4 linked regions of the Styela clava genome follow. The main gene of each other region encodes a partner of the protein of the gene in region 3 in a complex. Links are inferred from orthologs where the notes say so. Each region holds a gene or a part of one and is shown on either strand. Other genes may lie near its edges. The genes, in order: DNA-directed RNA polymerases I and III subunit RPAC1-like; DNA-directed RNA polymerases I, II, and III subunit RPABC4-like; nucleolar transcription factor 1-like; DNA-directed RNA polymerase I subunit RPA2-like.

What was found.
Region 1: nucleolar transcription factor 1-like (region 3) and DNA-directed RNA polymerases I and III subunit RPAC1-like share a complex: the UniProt entries of both Homo sapiens proteins name them as parts of the pol I pre-initiation complex. The link is inferred for Styela clava from reciprocal best matches to the Homo sapiens genes UBTF and POLR1C.
Region 2: nucleolar transcription factor 1-like (region 3) and DNA-directed RNA polymerases I, II, and III subunit RPABC4-like share a complex: the UniProt entries of both Homo sapiens proteins name them as parts of the pol I pre-initiation complex. The link is inferred for Styela clava from reciprocal best matches to the Homo sapiens genes UBTF and POLR2K.
Region 4: nucleolar transcription factor 1-like (region 3) and DNA-directed RNA polymerase I subunit RPA2-like share a complex: the UniProt entries of both Homo sapiens proteins name them as parts of the pol I pre-initiation complex. The link is inferred for Styela clava from reciprocal best matches to the Homo sapiens genes UBTF and POLR1B.

Annotation. Positions count from the first base shown.
Region 1 is NC_135263.1:3,694,400-3,703,008, forward strand, and holds the start of DNA-directed RNA polymerases I and III subunit RPAC1-like, read right to left. Parts: upstream 3,592-8,609; 5' UTR 3,560-3,591; coding exon 3,243-3,559; intron 480-3,242; coding exon 1-479. Other genes in the region: ribosome biogenesis protein NSA2 homolog, read right to left, coding at 4,409-5,191; uncharacterized protein LOC120341273, read right to left, coding at 8,353-8,408. UniProt on the Homo sapiens protein: DNA-dependent RNA polymerase catalyzes the transcription of DNA into RNA using the four ribonucleoside triphosphates as substrates.
Region 2 is NC_135255.1:11,192,605-11,198,937, forward strand, and holds DNA-directed RNA polymerases I, II, and III subunit RPABC4-like, read right to left. Parts: upstream 1,876-6,333; 5' UTR 1,806-1,875; coding exon 1,688-1,805; intron 1,471-1,687; coding exon 1,378-1,470; intron 1,309-1,377; coding exon 1,286-1,308; 3' UTR 1,043-1,285; downstream 1-1,042. UniProt on the Homo sapiens protein: DNA-dependent RNA polymerase catalyzes the transcription of DNA into RNA using the four ribonucleoside triphosphates as substrates.
Region 3 is NC_135255.1:6,648,906-6,656,961, reverse strand, and holds the start of nucleolar transcription factor 1-like, read left to right. Parts: upstream 1-4,708; 5' UTR 4,709-5,112; intron 5,113-5,870; 5' UTR 5,871-5,917; coding exon 5,918-5,948; intron 5,949-6,271; coding exon 6,272-6,330; intron 6,331-6,513; coding exon 6,514-6,639; intron 6,640-7,300; coding exon 7,301-7,357; intron 7,358-8,056. UniProt on the Homo sapiens protein: Recognizes the ribosomal RNA gene promoter and activates transcription mediated by RNA polymerase I (Pol I) through cooperative interactions with the transcription factor SL1/TIF-IB complex.
Region 4 is NC_135261.1:7,951,566-7,959,868, forward strand, and holds the start of DNA-directed RNA polymerase I subunit RPA2-like, read left to right. Parts: upstream 1-4,675; 5' UTR 4,676-4,685; coding exon 4,686-8,129; 3' UTR 8,130-8,303. UniProt on the Homo sapiens protein: Catalytic core component of RNA polymerase I (Pol I), a DNA-dependent RNA polymerase which synthesizes ribosomal RNA precursors using the four ribonucleoside triphosphates as substrates.

The sequences.
Region 1 (8,609 bases), on a different chromosome or scaffold from region 3:
CGACTCCCTGGTTATTCTCAACAATTTCTATAACCCCCGGTGAAAAACAATCTTTCAATTTCCATGCTAAATGTCCTGTTATTGGTTTAAGTATTGTAATTTCTGGCATCAGTCTGTAACTTGCAGTAGCGACGGGTGAGAATTTGGCATGATCTTTCCCGATACCTTTTACAGCGTGTAATTTTACGTCAATTTCTTGTCCCGGTCGCATTTTTGCGATGAGGATGTCGTCATGTACTGGTTTAACTTCAAATAAATCCTTTTGATTTCCGAACGGTATCCATTTTAAATCTCGTGAATATACTTTATGGTTTAGGTACATATGATCTGGATCACTAACATCTTTGGGTGCTTTCGTATTGCGAGTACATTTCACCTTTAATTCGAATTCCAAGGTCGTTTCTGGTGTTTCGCAATCATCTCCTTCTGCTCTGTATTCAAATAACCTTGGATCGACCTTCAGAGGAATAAGGCCGAGTCTAGGAAATAAGAAATCAGTGTTGAGAAGGATAGATTACTTGGCTCAACCCGAGTTTCAAATTACCATTTTTCAAGACTAAAAGTCGAGTTATCTAAATGTGATGACGACTTAATATAAAGATTGATTATACTGGAGAATCGGATCAAATAACCAATGACTCAACTTGACTTGTAACTCTGAGTTTAGGGATTTCTATTCAATACTAATTGTGATATGTATATTTCATGAGCGAGATTTTAAACATTCCACATTTTTCGAGTATTATTCTAGTATCACTGTCTGAAATAAATGGGCAAAACATGTTACAAAGAAATCGACTCAAATTGGAAAAATTATAAAGCAACTGGAGGATTGAAGCGGTGTGATAACGATATGAACACCTTTGGTGTTTGCCCATATAAGAGTTCACAGATTCAAATCCAGATGGTAATGGTTATGTCCCAGTAAATGGGAGTACTACATTTAACTGTGTGATATTACTTTTTCTTAATTTGTGTGCAATTGATATTCACTAGTTGCAAAAATAATTATTCAGCTTTCCTCTCTACTTAATAAAGTAAATGCAAGATTGAAACGCTGTGATAACGATAGTAACACACTTGATATTTATCATGATAGGAGTTCGTAGATTCAAATCTAGACAATCATGGTCAGGGGCGCAGCCAGGATTTTTTCAAGGGGGGGGTTATGGTGAAATAAATACGCGTTTATAGGTCTTTAAAAAGATTTTCCGACGATGGCAAAACAACATGTGCGTCGCTGTGTCTCATTAGCCTTTCTTTGCATGTCCTACTTTCAGCAATCGCCGACCATTCTCTTTGGTCAAAAAAAATCAATCAACTTTTCATTTCAATGCGCCGTTAACTTTATTACTGAAAGTGAATTCGTCGCAAATTCAAATTCCTGTGATATTTGCACATAACGCTTCTCTACTTTTAGCGGCGATTTATCAACATATTATTACCAGTTTGTTAATAATGCATGCTATTACTTTTGGCAACAGGGTTAAATTGGTTTATCGTTGTTTCAAGCAAGAAAATAAGCATTTGTTTTTTTCGCTTATTCAGCAATCGTAATTCAAATATTTCCCTATGCGAAAGAAAGTCTTCACTCCGCGGGGTGTCATTGCGTTTTAGAGTTTCAAAGTGATGCCGAAAATGCCGATGATAGAGAAACACCGACACATGTGGCTATTTGTCGCCAGACCCTGCCCCCTTTGACAGGCGTCAATTCGTTTATTTTGTTTTGGCATGTCCCATTTCAACCTTTTAGTAATCGCCGATTATTACCCCATTGTCAACAGTTAAATAAAATGCCATCGTCATGATTTTAATTGAAATACCACAAAAAATGTAAAATAAGAATAGAATGAAATATTAGCAATCATGAAACATTAAGAAATAGCATAAATTAATGATATTTGCCAAATGCCAATGGTTCGTAAACTATTTTTGAGTGCGTCACGAAATATCAATCCATTTCCAAAATAAATATATTTGATGTTCCCGTATTTATAACTTCATAAAACGATTACAATCATTTAAAAACAAGCTCATGTATCGTACTGATTGGGAACGTCTTTCAATGTAAAACTCTTGCTTGTTGCAATTAACTGTTAATAAATTCTAATTTTTATTGCAATGCATCGAGACCTATATTACTGAAAGTGAAATCGTCGCGAATTTGAAATCCCGCGCCCGTGATAGCTGCATTCTGCGCATAGCGCTTCTTCACTTTCAGCGATAATTTAACTATAATAATTTAATTATAATTTAATAACATATTGTTACCAGTTTATTGAAAAGATCTGGAAGACAACGCATGTAACTGCTTTTCGCAGACAGACGATTCCAAACGAGTCTTGGACGAGTTTGCTACCCAAAAATCTCGAAGATTGAACATTATTCTTTAAAAAAAAATTTCCCGAAGATTGAACATTATATTACGATACTTTTTACTCGAAGATTGAACATTATTTTGCAATGCTTTGTTTTCGAGGATTGAATATTATTTTATGACACCTTTTTTCGATGCTGCCACATTTGGCAATCCTTTGTTAATGAACCATACATTTCCAATAATCCATTTTGTCTGTTATTTGCTTATGATCCTGGTGCCATCGCTTGTTAAAGATGCACTACATAACTAAAATTCGTAATTAGCGATAAGCCGATAACCATTGATAACGTATGTGATTAAAAGTATGGATGCGTTGAATGTGGCGAGGCGAGAGCGCGCTTGTGGAATAGTTTTGACGGCAATAGTGTGATACGTCCGTTGCTATTTGTGTCAAGTGAAAGGTAGTACAATTGTATCTAAAAATGTTTAGTGTAGATTGTCACTTCCGTGACCCCCCGCTGGCAACTAGATCCACTGCCGCGTAACAGCGAATACGAATCGTAAACATAAATAATAAATTAGGACGCTGGGCGAAAGTGATAACGCAAAGAATAAAATTATTGCAAGTAAACGTAACACTATTAAAAAAAAAAAAAGATTCCAAAGGGGGGGTTACGACCCATGTAACCTCCCCCCTGGCTGCGCCCCTGATCATGGTTATGACAAGTACCTAGGTAGGTGTACTTTCTCTTTATCTTGTAATTTGTGTGAAATCGAGTTTAAATGGCTAGAAAAATTAAACATAAATTGTACTTCTGAACTCAAGGTAGTGGTTAAAATAATTTTATCAACTTTCCTCTTCTCATTGATAAATGTGAAAAATCCCTTTTTAATTCAAAGTCATTAAAAATTCATGAATTACCTATGAGCAAGCACTTCATCCTGTATTATACTGGTGTTGTTGTAAATAAACGCTTTCTCGAACGCCATCGTTGGGACTTCAGCCAGGAGAATCCTTCGAAATGCATTCGCTATGGCAGCGTCAATCCCAATCATATCAAAAGTCATTTCATCTTCGTCACATTTCAAAATATTAATCCGAAAGTTTTTCATGAACTTTTCGCGGCTCCATGCGTCATCGTAGCCGACGTAACTCCCTGGGAAATCAGTTGTGTGGACATTTAATACTCCATGTTCCCCCATGGTGACTCTAGTCCGCATATCGTCAATGTGAGCCATGGTTATTTATAGCTATAGCAAGTATCTACAATCTAATTTAAATGAAAGCAGATTGCAGTTGATAATGTTAAGGCAACAAGTCAGTCAAAAAAGTATTGAGTTTTGAAATATCTCACAAACTTTTGGCAGAATGGTAACAGAAAATAATTCAATTTGAGTTCAAAAATACTGTGAATAAACTTGGCGAATACCCTCGCATATAGGCTGAGTTCGAAACTCAAAAAACAAAATATTTGCCAAACTAAGATGTCGGTTCATAGCGCATAACTCCTATACATGCACTCAAACGAATTCACATTATGCTAACTTAATTCCAACAGCTGCAACTCAAATTTGCTGTCGCAGGAGGAACTACAGCGTGTTATGATATGTAGGGTCAGCTTATATGTGAATTTTTATAAATTCACCTTTTAGGGGGGGGGGGGGGGGGGGGGGGGTCGATTTGTATGTACGATCGGCTTATATGCGAGAATATACGCATTCAAAAATAATATACCACTGATTGTAGAACAAGGTAAATGAAACAACAAAACAGATCAAAATATAGCAGAGAGAGGAGAATACGCAGAAATCCCAGCAACAGAATAAGATTAACAGTAATCACCCAAAATATGTCTCTACACTTTTTGCTGTCTAAAAGTTTTGATCAAAAAACAAAATATCTGCCAGCAAAATTGAAGAGTCAGTATAAAGACTGGATAATTGGTCCCAACTGCTACTTAAATGACCTACCTGAAAAAAGACTTCTGGGTTTGACTGGGTCTTCTGGGTCGTACTGGAGTATGATTTTATTTGATGATTATCCCACATACCACACCAAGGATAATTTTTTTTTCTCTACGACAATATCTAGACCAGTAATACTGCGTTTATGCAGCCATCGTTTTCAGGATTATTTGTAACCTGGGCGTATTTTCCCCAGATTACTTTCCCCCCTTGTGTTACCAATCCCAGTTCGCTCACATTAACTTCTATGACTGTTCCTTTTGTGATTACTCCAAGAGATGTGTACATAGCAGATGACGGATTCTTTTTTACTCCGATGACTGGTAAACAAAATGTAGCCTTCAGCTCAGGATGAGTGACATGTGCTTTTTTGAACCTAAGCGCCATTGGTCTGATGAATCTTTCGTATTTCGGCGGTTTTCTTGTAAAGTTATCAGGAACATAACAAACTTTTGTGCACATTCGTTTCCATGCTTTTTTCTTTCTTTTCCCTGTTGTAATTGTTCTGAAGACTTCCGCTTCGCTTTGTGCTCGTACTTTCGGGAGCGGAACAGACCATTTTCCCGCTTTTTCTTTACGTTTTTGCTTAATCATGTTAGATAAGACTTTTCCACGACTTTGGCTCTCTCTGTCGAGCAGATAAGCAGGAATAGCTCCCTCTGGTGTCTTTTCATCATCTTTCTGCTTGGTGTCCCGTTTTTCATGCATTTTGATCGTCTTTTTCATCATTATTTTTTCATTGCGTCTCTGTTTGTTGTACATCTTCGCTTTCAGTCCAATCAGTTTCTTTGCTTTAATCGCTCGTGTGTGAGCTTCCCTCCCTTCTTTCTTTCGTTTTCTTTCATGATAGTCGAGACGATAACCATGTCGCTTCCGATGAAGCTCAATATGCTCGTTCTGTGGCATTTTGCTGTGGTGATTGGAGTCAAATTATTGAGTTTAAAATAATTTCTGAAAAATAGGTTCGTTTTTATAATTTTATTACACTAAAGCAAATAATCAAAGAGTTGAAAATCAAAGCAGCCTTAGTGACATTACAAAAGTAATAATAACTAATATGTCCTAAAGACAAGCACAAAATAGAGAATGGTTCAGACAGTGTTAGTACGGTAATTATAAAAGCTGAAAACTAACACATTTAAACCGAGATATTATCAAGACAAGCAGAGCACATCCTGTTGCATCTGCCAACGCGCCAGACACTCTCGCCTCAGAGACAATAAGTATACCAACAATCGCCCAATCTGCGCTGACGATAAAGGACTCATTAACAGCAGCGATCTCTCTCATATCAAGATCATTACACTGAGGAAACGAGATGAATAGCATTCTCAGTTTGGGTGATCGTCTGCACACCTTAGATGACAGTTTGTATAGTTTGAAGGGCCTTATTACATCACTGTAACGTCGTAGTGACATAATTTTCGGATGACGCAGTCGGGTGGGCTAGGTTTGACATATGCAAAAATTGTTACCAAAGTTACGCCCACTAGAAGTACTTGAGGTACGAAACTACACTGGACCTCATAACTGTACAAAAGACAATCCTTAAGAATCAGCCAGTTTGCCTTTTGAAATGAATCTTAAAAATTCAATGATCCAAACAATTCAGTAATTATAAAAAAGTGAGAGAAAGACACATACGGTACTGTATTGGTTGAACTGTTTTAAACTGCTGAACTCAGAACCTGCTTATGTCTGTAAGGTACCGTACGGTACCGTATGCAGGTATGGGTTACTCCATTACCGGTATAAAGTCCACGCATCTGAAACAAATAACTGGCTAACTAATATCATACCACTGTACCAGGTCATACGATACGGTACACGGCATGGACTGGTAACCGGACGAGAGGTTGTAGTTCATCACATTAATAGGCTGTCTTATCGACTTTCCTCTTCTCGGGATAAATATGAAAATCTTATCATATCCTATCCAACAGCCAGACAATCCCATCTTCCTGTCTTCTGGAATTCTACTTTCAGACTTCACATGCTAACCAGTTTACTACAGTGAGCGGGCAAAAAGCTAAACTCGCTGTAAAAATATATGAATCACAATAAAGTCTGCCCACTCAAGTTTAAGATGAGATCACTTTCCTCGTTCTGTCGTTGCCAAATTTATGATAAACAGACATTTTAGAGAAAGAAAACCTCGCTACTCATGTAACGAGCGAAATTAGAAGACTTGATTTCGATGCCGAGAAAACGAGAGAATTAGAAAAGTAGTATTACGTCAGATGCGGCATGTTATTTGAGAGAATAATAAAAACAGCGGTTCAGAAATGGATTCATCATTAGCTCACCTGCGACTTTTGTGGCACTTACTGAATCGCCTAACTTACTGATCCGAGAGCAGAAACGAATTTTGAAAGGTTTGTACATATTGCCTGATGCTGTTACATTTGGAAAGCTATGAATATACGCTAATTGTTGCCAAACTTGCCGCCGCTTTTCTGTTGTTTTGGAGCCAAACAACACCCACCCGAACGACCCCCTCACTAAAGCGCAAACCAGCAATACTCGTGACGAAGATTTTTCTCACAATGAAAGTTTTTTCAAGGTTTCTAAACGGTACTCCCACAGTGTGTGTACCAAGTTAGGCCATAATTTCATTCTGATTTTCCTTATAGGACACGTTTAGTGGACATAACGATCGTTTCAATATTATGTTGTAATTGTTATTTGTCTCCATCATTTTTAAAAAATCGCTTTTCTCTTCGAATACTGGACCAATTGCTTTGAAATTTTCAGTTAAAGATAAAAATTTTCTCCAGAAGGCTATTACTTTTTTTTCGCTATGACTTCATCAAAATTATTGCCATTGGGTGGCGCTACGTGTCCATATATTTGAGCATAGCTCTCTTGTTTTAGTTTTATTGAGATTTCGGGGACTGTCTATTTTAGCCCATAGGTTTCATTCCTTTTACAGTTTACACAACTTGATGTAAAGTAGGCGAACAAAATTAGTTACCACCATATTGGTACACATACTTCTGGAGCGCCTTCTTAACTACATTTCCAAGAGAGTCTTCCTGGCCAATAAGTCACTACAACCCCCAAAATGTATCACAGTGCAATATATATTTGCATTAAGATACTTCACAGCAGTTTTGCTAAAAAAAAACTAAAACAGTGATAGAAAAGATCTCACAAGGTTATATAAATCAAAGACGATGTGGTCGTTACAAATATTACGTTAATCAGAAACCAACGAATATAGACATGAATTTTTCTATTCACAGTTCATGATCACAAAACTCCAGAAAAAAATAAAGCATAATATATGCCACTAAGTAGCCTACTGTACAAGCAAAACGAACAGTTGAACACATTTGCATATCAGCAGTGAACAACAAAGTTACGTTACAAAGACCGTTTTATATATATAAACAATTTGAAGTAAGAATCGGTTGATCGAAGATCTGCATGTATTAGTACATGTCGCAGTAAGAATCGGTTGATCGAAGATCTGCATGTATTAGTACATGTTGCAATCAGTGGTGAGATTCAATTTTTTTGTCAGCCGGTTCCATCACAGAAGTCATATTTTCACCCGGTTCTGTTACAACAAGTCATTGACAGTAACCAGCAATGCTAACCTGTTCGCTGATCTCATAAAACTTCGTGAGACGGTTCTGTAGAACCGGTTCAAACCGGCTGAATCCCACCACTGGTTGCAATGTATAAGCCACTCACAAGTCTGTTAGTAATACATAAACAGAATAGGGGCGTAGCAAGGAATTTACAAAAGAAGGGGGAGGGGGGTCTGAAAATTCTAAATGCGAAGTCAGACCGTAACATCTAGCGGATCCGGGTCTTGAGTGTCCAAAAGGCGTTACAAGCTAAGAAAAAGCACTATGTATGATAGAAAAAAATGCTTTTTTCACATTTCAGAAAGAAAGGGGGGTACGACCCGCAACTCCACCTGGGTACGACCGTGATACAGAACAAAGGGTCATTCAAGGTCATTTTTGATTCTTGACAACTAGGCTAGTTTCTGATCAATTCTTTCATATCTCGTCTTCGTTAAAATTTGTGTTTCAACGTTCATCCCCTGAGTATAATTAAACGTGCGTCTTCTCTTCAACATCTTCTTCATTATTTTTCAGAGTTTCTTTTTCTTCGATATGAAAAATTATAAAAGAAATATTATAATGAGTAAGGTGACCTACTTTTAAGAATATTTTCATACGCACATAACTGCGAACAAGTCTTTTGCGATGTCATACCCTAAAAGACCAAAAGCTACAGATCTGACGACACATATCATATATTTCAATATGAAATTCAGAAAATTCAGAAACTAGGAGACATCGGCGTA
Region 2 (6,333 bases), about 4.5 Mb from region 3:
TTTGCTGTAGTTTCATGATGCTATGCAAGCAAAAAATGTTTCTGACTAGGGTATTTTTATCTATTACACTGCATCAGTGGTAATTTGGTACTTCATTGGTTCTGAAGAATAAAGCATTCCCCAATATAACAATTCCCAGCATATTCCTTTCATGAAGAATGACTCTAGGAAATGAATATGTCATATTTTTCTATTCTGTACATTATAATAACAGAACAAATCTGGTTTTCATTCCTTTTTATGAAATGCTCCATTACAGTAATCAAGTAGACAATTTTTACTAGTTTAGATAATGATTTAGAAATTTAAGAGCTACCTTATATTTCATACCAGCTTGACTGTAATACTAATGGTGAATAAAATGCACTAAAAGCAACAGGCGGTTGTATGAATAGTAGGTAGCACTACAAATTTGAAATTGTGCTTACACGCATTAGCATCCAAGATCTTATATTGAGTTTTCAATGAAATTGTCCTACATGCATGTCACAGCTTAAATCAAGGGACACAAAAATGTACACATATGTTCCAGTGGGTTATGGTACTTACAGCAATGCCAAGTCATTTCGCAAACTTACTCAAAATGTTTAGAATATAATTTGGAACTTGTCAATCATTTTTGGGGGGTCATTCCTGAACCCCACCAAAATATACGGATGGTTGTCCAAAGCGCGCAGACGATTAACTGAAGTCGAGCAAGCTATTTTCTCGTAACAAACAAACCCAAAATGAGAGAGATCGTTGCCGTTAGCTATACTTCGGCGCAAGCTATAATTTTTGGATGACGTAGTCCGGTGGGGGTTAGAAATAACATATGCAAAACTGGCCAAGCCCACTAGAGGCACTTGTAGTACTAACCTACACTAGACCCATACATCATCGTCTTGCGCTGGGGTAACATTTGCATATTGGCTACAAACCACTGAATGAATATCCATAATGCAAAGTATGAACATTTCTCAAAACATAGTTGCATACAAGTCCTATTGAATGCTAAAGGTCTAACGATGCCAATGTATCTCAAACAGCTTGCATGTCAAAATAGAAAAAAGTTCATTTGCCATTTATTCAATATAATGTTTATTGATGTTCTGGAGAACAAATTTTTTAATAGAAAGTCATGTGGTGAGGCAGTGGAGTACAATAATCCAGTTACAAAGGAACAGGGAACTTGGTAGATCACAGAAACGTCTTGAAAGTTAACGATTTATAAGTCTTTTCCCCTCACTGTCACAAGAAAAATCTTCAATGGATTTACGTTATTATGGTTGTGCATCAAAACTTCTCATCTGCAGTCGAATACCACCACTGAACAAAATAATGAAAAAATATAAAATTGAGCCTTTAATATCATATTTGATATTCAATATCACTTACTTCTTTTTGTTCTTTTCTTGTACATAATTCGGCAACCGCATTCTCTACATCGGATTGGATCACGAGACCTTATTTCATTTTCTTGATGACATTCTAAAAAATAATTTAGTAGCAAAAGGTTGTGGAAAGGTAACCTTGATTCTGAGATTGCCATTGGATTAAAATGGTCATTCATCCAAGGGAAACTAATTATTGGATCCCACCACATTGTTTGGAATGTCTGTTGCCTTGACCGAAAAGCAGACACACAATTATCTGATATGAGTATGGTCACATACAAAAATGCTGTAATTTGTTAAAATTAGTTCACCTCCACAAATATATATCATTGCTTTTGGTTGATGGGGAACAACTTCACCATGTGCAGGGGTCCTGCCTGGCGTTCGTCCTGATGGTGTGGCAGCTATGGAGCTTGATGGTGTGTCCATTTTCTTTTAACAAATCAATACCACATACGGTACCGTATATAGACTACAACTGAAATGTGATAAAAAGATACTTGATTATCTTTTTCTCGCCAAATAAATTCCAATGCCAAACGGAAATTTCGTAAATAGATTTTAGAGTCGAATTAGTACAGTAGTATAAGTTGCACCAAATTAAACAGTTTCATAATTTCAAACACATTCCCCACAAGACTTGATTATCGACTACAAATAGATACCGCCGTATCATTGTTTGTATGATCGTGTTAATTTATCAAGTTAATGTGTAATATTGAGTGTCCCGTTTCTTATATTTGCTGCTTAATTTCAGCTACAAGGTGTCGCTGACTAGATGACTCTATGAGTCTTTTCGCGACTCCGCGTCAACTGCAACAAGCCGATATCCATTTGACATTTTGTTACATTATATTATTTATTCATTTTTCATATCGCGCATTGTTTTTTGCATGACGAAAATAAATATCTGAATCTGAATCTGGCCTACATCGCACACACGATGCGATCACATCATAAGGTATCGGCACCGAAAGTGATAATATTCACTTTGAACTGAATTACTGAAGCAAAGTTTATAGTCACTTTGCTTTGAGAGTACCTACAGCTCACCGACCTTTGACCCTAAAACAGCGTTTCCCAATCGTAACAATGCCCCCTTTTCGCATCCGCTCAGACACTTTTCTCACTCAGACAGATTTTCAAGCATAGTTGTTAACATTACCTCGTTTTCGCGTTTATTCGTTAGTTTTCAGTTGTGTTTTGGAAACTTAATAAAAAATCATATAATTCAATGATCACTCTGTCTTCCTAGGAGTTAAATTAATTGCAGACTTGGAGTACAATAGGTATTTTTCACAGATTGGGCAAACGTTGTCTTTGGCTTTTCACGATGTGAGCGATAATGAGCATCTAAAATTCATGAGCGCTCCAAACAAATTGTCTATGTTTATGGAAGATGCTTCATTGAATGAAGTGGTAAATATAATCAATTCTTTAAAAACTAACAAAGCAACCGGGTATGACCATATTCCAGCTTATCTCCTGAAACTTTTGTGCAGTACAATTAGTCCAGTTCTCTGCAAACTCTTCAATTACTCTGTTTCTTTTGGTATATTTTCAGATCATCTTAAGGTTGCCAGAGTTGTTCCCGTTTATAAATCTGGAAAAAAAAATAATGTATCCAATTATCGACCCATCTCTATACTTTCATGCCTCTCTATTGTTTTCGAAAAGTTGATGCTTAGTCGCCTCCAAAATTTCCTTAATAAACACTCTATTATTAATAGCGATCAATTTGGCTTTCGAAATCATCACTCGACTACACATGCAATTTTAGATATAATTAGTAAATATTATGAAATCGTTGATAAGGGTTTGGTTGGCTGTAGTATATTTTTGGATTTAAAAAAGGCGTTTGACACAGTTGGAACATTATGGGATCCGCGGTACTGTGAGTAAACTATTTTCTAGTTACCTGCACGGTCGAAATCAATTTGTCACCGTCTCTGCCAATGAATCACCTCATGAACTTGTTTCTGTTGGCGTGCCCCAGGGCTCAGTTCTCGGCCCAACCCTTTTTCTTGTTTATATAAATGATGTAGTAAATTGTAGTTCAGGAATATTCAAACTTTTCGCTGATGACACAAACATAACGTCAATATCTTCCAGTATCTTTGATTTGTCCAATCTAGTCAAAATAAACTTACAAAATATTTCTAATTGGATGAAATCTAATAAGTTAACTATAAATCCTGAGAAAACACAGGTACTACTAATAAATCATCCCTATAATAAAAATATCAAGTATCCACATTGTCCTGATTTTACTCTAAGTGGTGTTAGACTAAACGTGCATGACGCAGTTAAATACCTTGGAATATTCATAGATAACAAGCTTAAATGGGACCGACACATCAACTCCCTGAAATTGAAACTATCTAGGTCTGTAGGAATAATGACAAGGATAAAAAATTCAATTCCTAAAAAATCATGCGAACTGTTTACTTTTCTCTCTTTTATTCGCACTTACAGTATGAAATTGTGGCATGGGGTTCCGCTGATAAAACTAGACTTAATGCTATAACTGTATTACAAAATAGAGCTCTTCGGGTTATGACCAATACTCCATTGCATCATAGTATGAGCCCCGTTTACAAGCGTATGAACCTCCTAAAATTGAATGATGTTTATATCTATGAAATTGCTAAATTAATGTTTCAATTCAGGCATAGTATGTTGCCAGAGGCCTTTGACTTGTATTTTAGTGAATGTAGTTCTGTGCATTCTTATGGTACTCGTTCCGCTTCTAAGGGAGCATTTTTTATTTCACGAACAAATTCATAGGCCCTAAAATTTGGAATGATATCCCAGACATTCTAAAAACATTCTCGTACAAAAAATTTAAATTTGAGTTCATGAAATACATCATATCCAAATATTAAATGCAAAGTTTAAGTCCTCCAATTTCGATGGGATACTGATGTGGACATGTGTCTAATATGCTTATTTTAACTTGTTCTCCATGTATTGGTTTAGTGGATTTACACATATGACTAGTGCCTGATAGTTCATAGTTATTAATTTAATAACTGTATACCTACTTTTGGGCCACCCTGTATGTGTCATGGTATAGTCCAACTATATGGCTAACAAATTGCAAGTCAATATGTTTTGAAACCTAGCTAGATCTTGGAATTATGTAGGATACATTTTTGTAGCATTTTGTGATATTTATTCACTCTATTCTTTTTTCCAAACCAGGGTTCAAGATTTATCAATACTTGCTACATGCTCTTCATGTACGGCATCATATATATTTACATAGTGGCTTAGACATTCCTGAGATGTACACATACATGTGTAAATTTTAAATATGTGGTTATTATGCTTTTCAGTAGTTAATGACCTGGGCTAACTGGGTAAATCTGAAGGTGAGAACCTAAATGAATTTCATTATACAATCCAGTATTCCTAATTCATTTTAATAATTAGATGTGGAGTGTAATCAAAATTTCATATTGTGAATTTCATATTAAATCTCATATGTTATAGTTAAAAAAGCATGCACTGTTGAGTGTGAATCACAATACCATTTCATTATAACAACCAGTTTACTTTTGACGATTCAATAATTCATGGTTTGTCTAAAATTGATATTCATAACTTGTTTAATTGCATTAATATAATTGTTATATAAATTTTTTATTCTTCAATCATAAAACTCACTTGCTACATTCAAATATATTCCTCCACTCCTTAATTGCGGTTCATGCTACAATGGCTGGTAACTGGCCTCTTTTGGCCCTACAATTAGATTATAGTGTACTTGTATATATTATTCTTGGTATATCCTGCCAAATTAATCCATCGTTTTATGTATATTTCATGTCCTGTCATTTATTATTCTGCAAACAATTCTAATCATTTTCTGGAATCCCACCTATGCACACCTGTTATAACAGGATACCGATTCTAGGCTTTATTAAACATAAGAACACCACTACCACAACTTAACACTGTAAACAATAGAATAACACGCAAACAGTAAAGTGTGCAGTACGACAGAACCAGAGCAATCAAGAGTACATTGTTTATCTGATAATTACACTGTAAAGAAATACTAACACCACAATTTCCCCCTCCTAAAAGATTATTTAACAAAAGTTTAATAAACATTTCACTAATAGTAATGTAAACGATCAATTGGACGTTTTTCTCTAGTAGAACGCCTAGGAGCCGGGGTGTCTATCTTCTTCATTGGGGATGTTTCGCGTTTTTCATCATCACCAGGAATATTTGACTTTTCTTCCCCTTCTTGAATTTCTGATTGGTTGATAACGGGATGCGATATTTTTGGTACATAGTCGGAATCTGCTGTATCAGCCTGCTTTACAGGTAATTGAGAATGTTGATTATCGGAGGAACTTCCATTATTTTCACTTCCAAACGACGTACCATCACCACACGGTGCAAGATGCTTTGCTGATACTGTTGAGGTTTTACCATCTGAATACCGAATATGAGCGTAATGTCTGTTCGCATCTAGAAGTTCCACTTCATCGACGTATGGATCAGATTTGTTTCTTCTAATCTGTCTCTTGAGAAGAACAATTTTAGAATTTGTCAGCCACGTTGGAACGGCATATCCTGTGGTAGATCTTCTTGCAAAATTGAACAACCGTTCATGTGGTGTTGCATTTGTTGCAGTACACAATAGTGATCTGATGGAATGCAAAACATCTAATAGAACGTCTTGCCAACATTCAATTGGCAAACCTTTTGACATTAAAGCAAGTTTTATTCCTTTCCAAATTGTACCATTGCACCTTTCTACTTGACCATTCGCCGAAGGATTGTAAGGAGTTGTTCTACTGTGAGACACACCCTTTTCTTGCAAAAATCTTTTAAACTCACAACTCATGAAAGCCGAACCACGATCAGTATGTATGTAAGCAGGCATTCCAAATACAGCGAACAATGGAGTTAGATTTTTTATGACACTGGCGGCCGAAAC
Region 3 (8,056 bases):
CATCACGCAATATACCACCTCCACCACCAGGGTTAGCTGGAATTCAGCCTGCTAATAATTTGAGGGGTTGGCCATCAAGTAACCCCCACAACCTATCAGGTAAGTGCTAGTTTTATCAGATCTTCGTTTTTGTCTATTGTCTATATACTTGTGACTGTTTCATCACAATGCTTTGAAATTATTGAAAGTGGGAGGAAATGATGACTTTGATAAGCAAGACAAAAATGAGTTTGAAATAAAGAGTGAGTAATGATAATGAGTTTGAAAAACTTCCCTATTTGGCAATATGAGAAATACTTGTGCGGAAGGTCGCCCTGTTAATTAGAAAGAAAATTGGATAATAAGAGGTAGACCAAATAACCAATCGTGATGTTATTCGGCAGTTGCCTATTGCCCTTGATGGGCTCTCACTGAACAACTTTCAGGTCAGCTGTCTGTTTGATTGAGGCTTGCAGAATTGGATTCAAGATTTTTTTCAACCTAAAAATAGCAGCTGACCTTTTTTGCAACAAAATCTCTTGTATCCACTACAGGGTGACCCAAAAAAAAAAACCCATCAATTTATGAAAATGAAGAAATTTTTAATACTTTTCTGATGATGTATGATTGTGCCCAAAAGTTTCAGCAGTTGATGATGTTTCGCACAAAAGTTATGTTCTCTCTAAAACAGGGGTTGGTTGATTACGGTCCATCGAAGTGTTTCATCCGGTCTGCTGAAATTATGACAATAGTTTTTATGGATATAAATTTCCGTTGAAAATATTGATAAAAATAAAGTCATGATGATCCCGATTGTTACATTGTGCTTCTTATTGTTATATGAGCGTCATTACGTCAGCTTAGCTGATGGACTGGTTGTTGTAAATAAGCTCTTTTTTTATTCATAGTTTTTTGTATTGAGTTTAGAGCTTCTAGCCCAGTAACCAAGTCTATCATCGGTACCTGGCCCACTCAAAAAAGAAATTGCCCACTCCTGCTCTAGAATATGTTCCAAATGACCTTGTACTTACTGTTTTATTTGGGTGACCCTGATCATGTCCCATTCCAAATACTTACACATTTTTAGAACTTCTCATTTGTATATTACAGACAGCATGCCTATTAAAAGTACAAATGATTGGGAAGCAATATTTGGATTCAAATCATCTGCAAAAGAAGTTCTTCCATCAGCAGATGACGATCTAGGATTCGATCCATGGGTTGAATGTAGCAAAGGGTTGGCTGATTTGATGGAAAAAGAAAAGACGCAAGAGACTGGAGCTGTTCATATTAACAATGTAAGAAGAAATGTGCAAGAACTTGGATTTGTATTTTTATGATTTAGATTTATAATTTAGATTTTAAATTTTTCAATTAATGATCCACTTTTCAAAAAAAATTATGATTTATGCTCATATTTGGCAAATTGGAAAGAACTGCTGATCGGATTCTTAGAGCAGCAATTTTTCAGAATTACTAATTTTTGCCTATTTTAGCCCAGTAGCAAATGAGGCATTAAACTAATTGAAAAATTATAGGCACTCGACAAATTACTGAATAACACAACATCATACTGAAAATAAGAATCAGTATCAAGAACATTCTTTTAACTTCCTACTACGTGGTTGTGTGTCTATAACCTTGTGCAAACTCCAAAGACGAATGAAATCGAATTGAAAAAATCGGAATGAATCGAAAAATAGAATTGAAATTATGTTCAATATTTAAAATTTTTGATATTCTGAATAATATATCCTAGTTAAAATTCGAAAAATGATCATTTTTAGCAACGAATATTTCACAGTATAAATGAGTATAAATAAGTAAGTATAAATTTTTTAAATTTATATTTGATACATTTTACTAATTACATACTATTTCAGAATGTATTTAGAATAGAAGATCATTCGTTTTTGGCCACCCATGGACTAACCATAAAAAAGTTCATTTTCGTCAATTTAAATCTAATAAACTAAAGTTGTTTTCTTGTTTATAGATTCCATATTCAACCAATACCTTTCCATTTAATTCAAACCCAACGTTTTCCGATATATCTGCAACACAAAGAAGACCAACATCTTTACATAATCCCAACCATTCGGGTGTACATCAGGTAAAATGTTTTTTTTTTTTTCGAATCTCGTTTTTCGATCTAGAAGCATATTTGAAGCTTGATATACATTTTTGTTTTATTCATTTTATAGGCTGGATTTCCTGGCGGGAATGATCTCATTAATGGATTTTCCAATCTTATGATGCATGGAACATCCCAGCATTCTCAACAGCACAAAATGCCTTTCCAATACGATAATTTACAACAACGTCAGTTCGAGCAAAATCGATACAATCAACAACAAAAAGTTTCCAATCCCTTCCAACAAATCGATCCATCAGATAAGAACAATTTTTGGGATCTGCGAACTATCAAAAGCAGGGTTTTATAAACCATGGGGGCCCACCTACTCCGAACAAAGATCAAATGAATAAAAATCCTGCAAATATTACAGATTGGCAAAATGGACTAAGGGCTTTGCTGCCGAGCGTAAATATCAATTTTGCAACTCAAGGACAAATTCAGAGACCTAACTCAAGGCCTGTCGATAATTCCTCTTTAGGTTTATCCAGCTTAGGTATGCCAGCAGAACATAACAAACATATTAATATTCCTCACCCACCAGGGATTTCAAGCTCTGGTATGAATCCCCATCCCCCTTTCAACAAATCTAATATCATGCCCCCACCTGGGGTGGGTTTTCCTGGCAGGTCATCTTCTTTTATGCCATCAAGACAGCAATGGGGTGGCCCTGAATCTTCCATGTCCACACCTGGAATGTCCTCGAACAGACTTGTTAGCCCTGCTAGTTTGCAGTCCTTATTTGCTGGTGGAAACCGCTCTGAATCTAATCCTATGCCTGGTGGTACAATGCCATCCTACCCACCCGATCCTGCCATAATTCAAGGAGGCGTGCCAGGTTACGGACCCACAATGAGGCGTAATAGACTATTTGAAAATCCACAAAACAAATCTTCGCACAATAATAACGAGGATCAGCCACATTGGATGAAATCGCTGCAAGCTTTAACTGAGCCCGACAGTCCAATCCACCCTATCCCACCTTCGAATAACTCTAATATGAACCAACTTTTTTCACAGCGCCCAACAAACAGTGGTATGCCCTCGTGGCCTGGGATGCCTGGCTTATTTTCTAATTCAGGTTTTGTGCCTTCACAGCCACCTCCTGGATTTCAAGTCAGGCCTTCTCTATCAAAACCCACAGAGTTTGGTATGATTCACAGCTTATTGGAAAATCAGTCATAGGGTTGGATTTCTTTTGAACGATATTATCAAATAAAGTAATTTATATATTTGTTGGAATTTCTCTTACCATAATTCAAATAAATGCGGTTTGTTTTTTCGATCCGATCACTGATCTCTGACAAAAATGGTACACATGGTAAAATGGACAACACAATATTTGAAAAATTGTTGCAATTTTAATTTCTTGAAAACGTGATAAAAAAAATGTGGATGATTTCCACTGGTATTCTTGTGGCTTGGTGAATTTTGGTAGTCGTGACAATTTTATCGTAAATATTCAGAACATTGAAGAGCACTTTCTGGTGACTTCTGGTTTCATTTAAGTGTTACTTCTTTTTCTTGGCCAAACTTGATGGTGCTGGCATGATGTTCTTATTTGTCTGTTTTCCGCTTTATTTCAACTCAATGGTCAATAAAGATATGGATTTTTTCGCTTTTTATATGCTATTTTGTTTTGATTTGTGACTGATGTTCTTGGGCTCATGATGTGAAAGACTATTTACTTATTGGCTTGGTAGGTACTTTTTATTAATTAGGTTGCAGTCCGTGATAACTATCAGATATTGTCTAACATCGACTTTTCACAGACCTCCAATTTTATAAATTGCAGCTAGTGCTAGAACTTCAATTGAAGTTTAACCATCTGGTATATTTTGCTATGGTTTATGTGGCAGAAACGTCCCTGGGATTTTCGTTACGTAACCGCTGGTCGGTTACGGCTTCCTCCACCACTAAGTCCATGCTTCCGAAAGCAAACAATATAACTAATCCCATACCAGACTTGGAATGGTAACCGGACGAGAGGCCGTGGTTCGCCATATGGATGAGCCGTCTTAGCGGCTTTCCTCTCCCCCGGGATAAATATGTAAATCCTAACCTTAGAAGCTATGATCAAATTATGCATGGACTTTATGCATACTTACATATTTTGCCACTCCATATTACTTTTACTCATTATACCGTTAGTTTGATTCATAAAGCCCAAAGTAGGTGCTTTTAGTCTTCCGAGTGCGTTCAAAGCCAGTTTCAGTATTATGTTAATTATGGTTTATACGTGGGCAGATAAAAATTATAATCGTTGGCTATACCATGTCTGGTACGTATCCTACTAGGCTGAAGAAGACTCATTTTCAGAAATTGTGTGCGACCTGTTCAGACCCCCAAGACCCTAACAAAATGAAGACAGTCCGAGGGCTTCAGTTAACCCAAAAAGCCGAAACTGCAGGTTTGTAACAATTGCTTTGAGGAAAACACATATTTATGACTTGAAACATCTGCAACTTGAAATACTCAAATGAATACGGCTTCAAACTATGATTATAAAGGCAGCTTTTGCGCTTTATTTCAAAATTCCAACATTCTCCCTTTTGTTTTGAATTCCAAGAGTCGCTGCCGCCGAAGAAAGTCGATGTTTTCGGCGACTCGCAGTGCTTTTTTCGGCTGATGTCTCTCGAAATGCCGAGATAGATACACCGGGAAAAATACAGACAAGCGGCCTGAAATCGAGCGTTCTGATTGGGCGTCGCTATCGATTTGCGTGAGCCCGTCTGTCTGGCGTGGCGTATTGCAGTTTCAAAGCGTTAGTACAGAATTACGAGGAGGGCGTGTGCAACCAGTTCAGATCGCACGATAGTTTGAGCTCACAGAATCAAATTAGCAGACGATTAAAAACGACCACTGGAATTCGGAAATACAGCAATAAACTAGGCCACGGTACTTCTGTCGACATCAAATATAAAAGACAACCCAGACCAGAAGACTGCAGCGACTCGTAAAACTGCAAAAACACGCACGATATCGGCGAAAAACTGAAGGTAAGATGCGTTTTCATCATGCATTAGTACTAATAAAGTTTACTCAGACATCGCGACTTTAAAAGTAAGGTACTGGTATGTGTTTTACAATGAATGTACCCTTGTGAGATAAATTTTGAACAACATCTTGCTAACTGAACTGGTCAATTCGTGGTCTCGTTAAACGAGATAGCGAGGTAAACTTTGCAATCGAGGTCCGCCATATTTCTCTCGCGTTTCGCAGAGAAAGAAGGCATTTTCATCATAGTTCATTTCAACCATCAGAGCGCGAAATTTCAATCATGGTAAGCGCGAGACCACCCTATTAGAAAAATACATGGTGTCCGAAAAATTTCCCGCGAATTTATAGTAATAGCAATTAATTTTTTTTGTTTTTGACTTCATAAAATAAAATTTTTAATTCTAACTCACAATTGTTATTACTATAAAATCCGGTGAAATTCTTAATTGTTTTTACTCAGTTACTATAAAATCCGGCGAAATATTTTGGACACCCTGTATAATATATAATTTATCAACTTTCACATTAAAGCATCCCAATTTCCAAGTACAAAATAATCCTTTTTCAATCTTAATCATTGTTGTAAACTTCACATGTATTCTTGTAACATGCTATAACCTCAATGGTATAAATAACGCTAACCATGTTCGTTCCAAATCCAATTGGTTGCTCATTTTTCATGCAAATTATCCATTTGACTGTTTTAAATAATTCAGAACTATGAGTGCAAGTGTCTAATAATGTTTTTATTTTTTAGAGCATTTGTCAACATTGGGAACTTCAGATTGATATTCTGATTTGAATATGAAAGGGGCAACTAAAAACAATTGTATTGGTAAATCAACATATTGTTATCAACTCAAATCATGTCTTGTGTAGTTTCGTACCGCATGTACTTCTAGTAGACGCGGCATAACAATTTTTGCACATGTCAATCCTAACCCCTACCTGACTTCGCCATCCAAATATTATGTCTCTTTTTAAATGAGGATGGATGTTGAAACTTCAAAGTAATCTGTAAAGTAAAATATTACAAATGAATAGGTGATCTTTAAACTACTGTTAAATCATAGTTTGAAGGAATGTTGAAGTATTTCAATAAAAACTTACAGAAATTTAAAATTCATGGAAATGACATTAATATTTACAATTTTGCAGGGAGTGAGGATGGATGGACAGATGCCACAACAAAAGAACTTTTAAATAAAATGAAGCAGGTATATTAGGAGATATTATAGTAGATCAATTTTTTTATTGATAAATGAAAAATTATTATTTATATGTTTAATAAAATTCATTGGATGCCATGAACAGATCCATCACATTTTCAGTTATCAACTAATATATATCAATGCCAATTTGCTGTAATCATGAATCTTCAATTAAGTTTCTTATTTTAGGCTATTCCGAATCCAGATGTTTCTAAATATAAAACGATGTTAGAAAAATTTGAATGGGACAAAGTAAAGATGGGTCGTTTCTCAGCTGAAGATTGTAAGAAACAATGGTTCAGAGTTTATAAGAAGGTTTGTTCAAGTATAATTCTTGTTTTTGTATCTTTTTACCAAGTGCACAATTGGTCAGCATGATATGGTGGGAGGTATTTGTTGACACTGAATTCCACCACCCACATGGGTTTAGGAGCAGTTAAACCAGGGGTGTGCAACATGTGGCCCGCAGGCCCGAACCCAGCTCATCAAGCAGTTGGTGTGGCCCGTGTATTCGCCCCCCACTCATCAAGCATAAAATCCCAATCCCACAGTGCATGTTTAAAAAGACGTTCACATGGGTAAAAATATGTGTATTGATATTTGCTCTTGTCGCTGCCCTAAATCTTTCGCCGTTTTGCCCGGTGACTTTATTACTGGAAGGCTAAGCAATGGCCGTATTCTCTTTGCTTTCTGGTTGCAGCTAATTTTCCAATTCATTGTGTGCATAGAAAAACTTATTTGTTTATGTGGCTCAGCTAGATGTCTGAAGTTAGTTTTATGGCCCACCAAAGTAACTTTATCGCCTTTCCCTCTCGTGTGGGATAAATATTAAATATGCTATTACTACCTATCGCCACTGTTGAAAGTATGTTATATACACAGAACACAGTATCTGAGAATTTTCAGTTGCCTTGGACCTTGGTTTGTCTGGGATTGACTTGCTATTGTTAATATTTTATATTATTTTCACATTCAGCTGAGAAAGTTCAAAACTCTGTCAGACTTAATAGTGGATTCTCTCGATTATATTGAGGTAAGTAAAATAAAGTTGCCAATAAAACCTGAATACATGTCGTAGTTATGCTACACCCAATACGAAAAGTAATAAAATGCTTGCTTTTTAATTTATATAAGATGATTGATAAATTTACTGTTAACTTACTGTTTTTTAAACATTGTGTCGTGAAGTCTTCAGCGTTATATGTTGAGGTTGTTTACACAACAGTTATATATGTATTCACTCTGACTTAAGCTCTGAACAAGTATCTACAGATATGTACGATGCTACTGTTTCATATGGACCTGTGTTTATCTGGTGCAGCATTGTCAACCCAATTTATTATGCCCTCTCTAAGCTGGTGGGTATGGGACTTGAAACCAGATTTTTACCTACAGGTCAACGTGGTGAGTCTTACCCAGGGGTGGGCAAATTACGACTATAGTTTTTATGGATATAAATTTCCATTAAATATATAGATGAAAATAACGTCATAATGACCCCGATTGTTACATTGTGCTTATTATTATATACACGATAGCCTAGCTGTAGGGTGTTGGACTTCCTTTTGTAATTAAACTGTTTTTTTTTCATAATTTTTCATATTGAGTTCTGAGCCACCAGCCAAGTAACCAAGTCTATTATGTGTAACTGGCCCGCTCAGTAAAATTAATTGCCCACTCCTGCTCTAACCCCTAAGCCAAGAGTCGGCAACCTTTTGTCGCTCGCGGGCCG
Region 4 (8,303 bases), on a different chromosome or scaffold from region 3:
GAGCGCCGATCTGTGTATGAGCATTATCCAAAACCTCATTTAATTAAAAAATCTTCAAAACATCCTTCCATAACAAACGATATGGCACTCAAATGTTAATCCCCATATAAAATTTGTGTTAGTGTCTGATCGAAATGGGTAAATCCGAATAATTTATCATATATATATAGTAAAAGTGGAATAACTAATTACATGCAAACAATCTTAATTTGAAAAAAAGGTACTCAAATGTTCAATCAGATAATTTGTAAAAATAGGGAATACTGCTGATAACGAACCTTTCGAGAACTTTAATTACATAGTTGATACCAAAATCCATAAATATTCGTTTGTCTATTCATAGTCGGTCTACATTCGAATTTTTACTATTGTATATTGTTCCGTCAGAAATTTTTAGGACAATGATTCGAATGTCAAAACCAATTATTAGGTTTGTATTTTCTTTAAAAAATTTACACCGATGCCAAAATAAATACATAGTTAAATTTATTCACAACAATAAATTTTTTTAGTGGACGGATATCAAAGATATGCCATGGAATTGAATATATTTTGCAGCTTACTAAATCACGCTTCGACGACCGGTGCATTGTACTCGGGAAAGGGCGTGCTATCAGTCTCCCTGATTGCCATATCCTGTTCGCATCCCATGTGTTAAGTGTCGGAGGATTGCTGGCCTTGCTTTTGTAGTTTGGCTCATATCACTGCTGGTCGGTTACGGATACATCTCTCACCATGACTATTCGTTTTGAAGAAAAAAACTGCGGACAGGGAACAAATTCTTTGTAATCCACAAACGAACTCATTTCAATGCATAAACACAAAAATTGATTTATTTCGTAACAATGGTTGTTGTACGGGCTTTTTTTTTGTAGCAAGTAGTGTAAGTAACGTGTTTCCCCGAAATTAAGACCTACCCTGAAAATAAGACTTATTCAATAACGCGAATATTTTTTTTGACCTAGTCGTTAGCATGAAATCTCTCCCACAAATGGTTTGAATGAATCAAACACGTTTGATATAATCTATGTTTGGCGGTTCTTTTGAATAAAAACGTGTTATTTATAAGGAAATATAATTTTGTAATTTCGATTTTGATAAATAAAAATATAAGACATTCCCCCAAAATGAGCCCTAGTGTTATTTTTCAAAAGAAAACTGTAAGTAAGGCCCAGTCTTATTTTCGGGGAAACACGGTAAGTGAAAGCACATGTTAGTTCGTGAGGTTCACTAGTCAAACGTTTTAACAAGTAGTTGTAATTAGCGCTTCAGTTCAGTTTGATATTCAAAATTTGGCATTAAAATGGCTGGAAAACGTAGAAAAGTTTGCGAAGAGGGCAAAGTGCTTGGACGGAAAATATTTCTTTGTTGAACATTATTCAAAACTTATCTGCTTCACCAGCATCGTAGTTACGATATGTACTGCGGATATCATCAAAGTTGCCAGTTGATTTTTTAACACTTTGGCCATCACACAGAATTAACATAATCCTTCACACTAATGAGGTAAACAAAAGCAATATAAATTTTGAATGATGATACCGAGAAAACAGCCACGTACACGTCTCAATGAGATTTGAGATATGCGTTAAACACATGAATAGAAGTTGCGGGTGCGGAATAAAGTTTTATGTGATTGTTTGTTTACAGGCGGAAACTAATGCGCCACGCATACTACCAGTAATGTGTATATTTGGCCCAGTAGTACTTCAAGTTTGCTGACCGCCGCTTCGGTATTCAGTATGTTCGTATGTTTCCCCGCTTTTTATTTTAGGAGAGGGAGTTCCAAATTTGGGTGGTGATAGATATTTATTTGACTGATCCTCTTCACCGGCATATAAGCCACTTCCTAAATATTCAAATACATTTTTATTTACGTTGAGAATTAAAGTAAGGTGTCACACCTGATATTTAGCGGAGTTGAAATTTGGGGGGTAGGGAAATCACTGCCGCCGCCCTACATAAACTGTCAACCAAACCGGAATTCTTGACTGTTACCATGGATTGCAATTTTGGGTAAAATATTGGATGTCACATGGCTCAGGAATTATAAAAAGAAGTACCGCTAATAGCATTCTATTGACATTTTGGAGAAAAGCGATAAAAAAGTCTGTAATTACCGGTATACAAAAAATAGAAGAATACGACGATTTTGAGGACAATGGAGTGAAACACAAAACAAAAGAAAGAAAAATACGGGTCGTTTACTTTTTAACATTACAGAGCTATTTTTTAAAAGCAATGTGAAAATAATTGAACCAATGAATGATCAATATTCAAAAATGAGAGTCAAGTGGAAGAACATGGCGCGGCGGTGTGGCTCAACGGGCTAAGCGTTAGGAATACGCTCGCCACCGCACCTCTAATTACTCTGCGTGGGTTCGCAGGTTCGAATCCCATGCAGGGATGGTTATGTGCGAGAGGATTGGTGGACTCCTCGCCGTCGTTGGGTGGTTCACGTAACCGCTGGTCGGTTACGGCTTCCTCCACCACCAAGTCCAACAAACAATACAGTAAAACTAATCCCATACCCGACTTGGAATGGTAACCGGACGAGAGGCCGTGGTTCGCCATATGGATAAGCCGTCTTATCGGCTTTCTTCTCCCCCGGGATAAATATGTAAATCCTATTCTATCCTAACATGCGTCAATCAATATAATTGAACTTATCATAAACATTAGATTAAGTTTAAGTCACTAAAATGCAACTACGGTACTACGGTATTTTCTATATTTAGGTTAGTGAACACGTAGCACTTCGAATTTAAATTCTGTGCGCTATGAATCCCATTTTGGGTTTTGTTTGCTCTCCTTATTCTATAATCAGTTTTCATTTATTTATTTTTATAAACAATTTTATCGTCTGTTGTGCCAATAACTTTGTTTCGTGTTATGGTTGTGCTAATGATGGAGTCGAAATAAACTACGCCGAACTATCCTGCATGTTGACCTGAGACATGAAAATCGCAGCCTACCTCTGTGATAAAAGTCGTTGGGAAGTACGTAGCTGCAGATGACAGATGCAGATGGACTGCCAACAGGGGATAAAATAAAACACTGGTTCATGAATGAACCAGGTATATGTGTTATGTGTGAATGTAATATTGAAGAGACTTTATGTCATTTATTTTTGGAATGTCAATGGGCTGTTGATTTCTGGCAATGGTGCTGCGTAGAAAATAATCGAATTACTATTTTAGCAAATGATTCGGAATGCAAATCTAAATTAATCACAATATTATGCGGAAAATCAACAATTTGGGAATATAGAAATTCAGTAAAATATGATGAAATAGTTAAAAGTAAAAGCAGTATGCGCTCAATATTCAAATGTAAACTGATAGGAGTTTTAAATTTAATGAAAACAAGTGAAAGAAATGATTTACTATTGTATGAACATATGGATGATCTCATACATAGGTCAATCATGATGTGACATGACATTGACATTTTCTATGCAACACCAACTTAAATGGATAGTACATGAAAAGATTCCAATGTCCAAATTTATGCATCATTTTGATTTAATTCATACATAGATAGTGAATAGAGAAATGCCAAAAAACCCACTTTGGCTGTTTTCTGATTTTCTGTCTAATTTTCTAATTTCCATGCAAAAACTAACTAAATCGATTAATTATTGGTAACTATATATAAAATGTGTGCACGAATTGGATGACGACTGATAATATGGATAAACCTATATTCAATGGATATAAATTGGACTATATATGATACAAAACTCCGGTAATGGTATGGTTTTATATTTTAATTGTTACATATATTATTGAACTTGTGGGCAATGTGTTTTGAAATTATGAAATTGTTTTAATTGGGTGCAAATTATACTAATTCGACAATAAAATTAATATACGAAAATTCCGTTTGGCATTGGAATTTATTTGGCAAAAAAAAAAAAAAAATGGAATTTATTTGGCAAAAAAAAAAAAAAAAGCTGCAGATGACATTAAAGCGGACAAAACCATAAGTAAGGTTTTAAACGTACACATGTTAGATTGAAAGGTGTTGTCGAAAGAAGTCAGGAAGTGGTAAGTTACGTCTGTACGTGCCCGCTCACCCAAAAGTATTACCGGTACCGGTAACCAACAAATGAATTATTGGAAGTCCCTGGATTATATGGAATATTATATCTGATGGAATTATCTTGATATTACTGATATACGGTATATGTTTGTTCACTTGCGGTACACAATATATCTTTATTTATATTTAATTTATTTATTATTTACATATTGAATAATCCACATTGTGGATCCATTTAAAAAAAAAAAAAAGTATTAATTTAAATAAAACACACACACACATACCTGCATACTGCAGTAGTCTACTGACTGTATTCTGTTGATCACTAACTGACAAAACTTATTACCGAATATAGGTCAGATATTTAGAAAAATTGGGTTGAACTGGGGTTAGTCGGGTCAGTACGATTAGTCTTAAATTTGACTTGAGAAACAAGGAAGCGAGAAATAGTAGAGCTGTCAGGCTGTACAGTTCCACATTCAGACCATACCGGTACTGCATTAAAATATAACTTAACTAGGCCTATAATTTATTTGACTGTTTATGCTCTAATGATTTCTGCTAGTAGCGTCGTTTAGAATTGTTCCAAAATTTATCAGACTTCAAAAATATTTATATCTTTTATCATTAGATTTAACATCATGTCTAGAATAAGTTTGGAATCCAAACTTCCATCAAGTACCACTCCATCTTTGAAGAATTTAACTGTGAAAGATTTTTCTAAACTTGGAGAAAGTCAAACGGAGGCTTTACAAGCTTTAACCAGACCTCATGTCGATTCTTTCAACTGGTTTTTAAATACTGGTATCAAATACTCGGCCAGACTTATTCCTCCCATTCAAGCTCTTGTCCAAAATCGTCGTTTCTCTGTTCAATTCGTGGATGCAACTATCGAGAAACCACGTGTTGATGAAGGGTTTCGTAATTGTCGAACATTAGCTGTATATCCATCAGAATGTCGACAGCGTGGGTCAACATATCACGCTAAACTTCACGCTACCTTTTCGTATTCTATTGATGGAATAAAACAAGCGAATATTCCTGTCATGCTTGGTGTTATTCCAATAATGGTGAAATCAAATTCATGCAATTTGAGTGGGTTAACTCCTAAACAATTAGTTGCAAAACAAGAAGAAGCAGAAGAAATGGGTGGATATTTTATTGTGAATGGAAACGAGAAAGTTCTCCGTATGTTAGTAATGCAAAGACGTAACTTTCCTCTTGGTGTTGTCAGACATTCATGGAAAAACAGAGGCCCGAACTATACAGAATTTGGCATTATGATGAGAAGCGTGTCTCCAGATTTGAATGTTGCCAATATGGTTGTTCACTACTTGCGAAATGGCACTGTAAACATTTGTATTTTTCATCGCAAAGAAATGTTCTACATTCCACTGATATTTATGCTTAAATGCCTCGTTGATAAATCTGATGTTGAAATATATAAAGAACTAACAAAAACCAAGGAAGATGACACATATTTCAAAACGTGCATTCAAAATATGCTCCGACAAGCAAAATCACTTAATCTACATTTGCATAAAGATTTCACAAAGTACGTTGGAGGAAAATTTCGTATTAAACTAAGTCAGCCGCCTTGGACAACCGACGCTGAAATAACGAAGTATTTATTGCAACACAACGTTCTTGTTCACTTGAAAAACAATGAAGATAAGTTTCATTTACTTTGTCACATGGCTCAAAAAGTATTCGATCTTGCTATGAAAAAATGTGTCCCAGATAATTTGGATTCGGTCCAAAACCAAGAGGTGCTTTTACCTGGCCATTTATATCAAATGGTTTTGCGTGAGAAAATGGTTCTATGGCTTCTTACTCTATCTAGGCTTATTGAAAAGCAATCTAAGCTGAGTAAAAATCAAGGTCTGTCAATGCTAACGTCATCTGCAATACAAAAAGCAATGAGATCTGTACCTGAAGTATCCAATGCTATGTCCTACCTTCTCGCTACTGGAAACGTCACAACAAAATCAGGTTTGGGTCTTCAGCAAACCACTGGACTAGCTGTCGTTGCAGACAAGCTCAATTTTATGCGCTACATATCACATTTTAGATGCTTACATAGAGGATCGTTTTTTGCGGAAATGCAAACTACTGAAGTCAGAAAATTACTCCCCGAATCATGGGGCTTTTTGTGTCCTGTACATACTCCCGATGGGTCTCCTTGTGGTTTAATGAATCATTTAGCGTACATGTGTGAAGTGGTGACAAATCGTACATCAAATGCTGCTATTGTACCGATGCTATATAATTTTGGTATGATAGGGCCAGATTCATGTCAAGTAAAAGGTCCTAATTATTACCCAGTTTTACTAGATGGGCTTTTAGTGGGATGGCTATCAAAAAAACTAGCGAAACCCGTAGCGGATATTTTGAGAACTAAGAAATCAAATGGGGAAGATAAAATACCGAACACCCTTGAAATTTGCCTGATTGAAAGAACTGAGAAAATATCACAATTTCCTGCTCTTTTCCTATTAACAGACGTAGCACGTATGGTCCGACCAGTGTTGAATTTAGAGACAGGAAACGTGGAAATGATCGGATCATTTGAACAGCCATACATGGATATTTGTATCATTCCTGAAGAAGCACATGAGCATACAACACATCAGGAACTTGTTCAAAATTCTACACTTAGTGCTGTAGCGAGCATGACACCGTATTCTGATTTCAATCAATCCCCCAGGAATATGTACCAATGTCAGATGGGTAAACAGACCATGGGAACACCATGTCAAGCGTTGTCTTACAGAGCTGATAATAAATTATACAGAATTCAAACTCCACAATCGCCTATGGTGCGACCATACATGTACGATCATTTTAAAATGGATAATTTTCCTTTTGGAACGAATGCAGTGGTTGCTGTCATCAGTTATACTGGATTTGATATGGAAGATGCCATGATCTTGAATAAAGCTAGTTTTGACCGTGGTTTTGCATATGGTTCTATTTATAAAGGTGATCTTATTGATTTGGTTAAAATAGTAAATGACATTTCAGTTAAAGTTACATTCGGAACTTTGCCATCTGATAAAATTTCTGCGGAATTGGTGAAGACTGGAAAATTAGGAGCTGATGGTTTACCAGCAGTTGGCCAAAAGCTTGTTTACGGAGATCCCTATTACAGCTACGTGAATGCCGGTACTAAAACATTTCATCTTCAAGTTTACAAAGGACAAGAAACAGCATATGTTGATAACATCAAGGTTTTGAGCAATAACATAGGAACAGGATTGTTCAAAAGGGTGTATATAATTTTACGAATAACACGCAACCCGATTATTGGAGATAAATTTGCAAGTCGTCACGGCCAGAAAGGTATCTGTTCCCAACTTTGGCCCGCTGAAAGCGTTCCTTTTACAGAATCTGGTTTATTTCCTGATATCATATTCAATCCCCATGGATTTCCATCTCGTATGACAATCGGAATGATGATAGAATCTATGGCTGGAAAAGCAGCGGCTATGCACGGTGAACCATATGATGCCACACCATTTTCATTTTCAGAAAACGATTCAGCTATTGACCATTTCGGTAAAACCTTACGAAAAGCAGGGTTCAATTATTACGGTACTGAAAGAATGTATAGTGGCGTTTCCGGCCTTGAACTAGAAGCGGATATATTTATTGGAATTGTTTATTATCAAAGACTGAGACATATGGTATCTGACAAATTTCAAGTTCGTACAACTGGCCCCGTTGATCAAATGACGCAACAGCCTGTACAAGGCCGAAAACGTGCTGGCGGAATCAGGTTTGGTGAAATGGAGAGAGATGCATTGGCCGCACATGGCTGTGCTATATTAAACTATGACAGGCTTTTATTATCATCGGATCAAACATGGGGCCATTTATGTGAGAAATGTGGCAGCATACTATCGCCTATTTTAGAGCGAGATTTGAACAAAGGCCGTCTTTATGGGCTCGGTCGCAAAACATGGAAATGTTTGACGTGTGGTTCATCAGATAATGTTGTTTTAGTTGATATTCCATCAGTGTATAGATACTTAGTCAACGAACTAGCAGCGATGAACATCAAAACTGTGATACCTTCTCGGTAAAAGGATAAAAGTGTGGCCAACAGCCACAGGCAACAATTGTCTCATTAACAGAAGTCATCCTATAATGTGTTTTTCATTAAATATTCTGTAAATACAGCTGTACAATGGGATTCAGTGATTAGCAATCAAGTTTGATTACAATAATCATTTAGTTTTCCTCTGTTCCACTGCCAT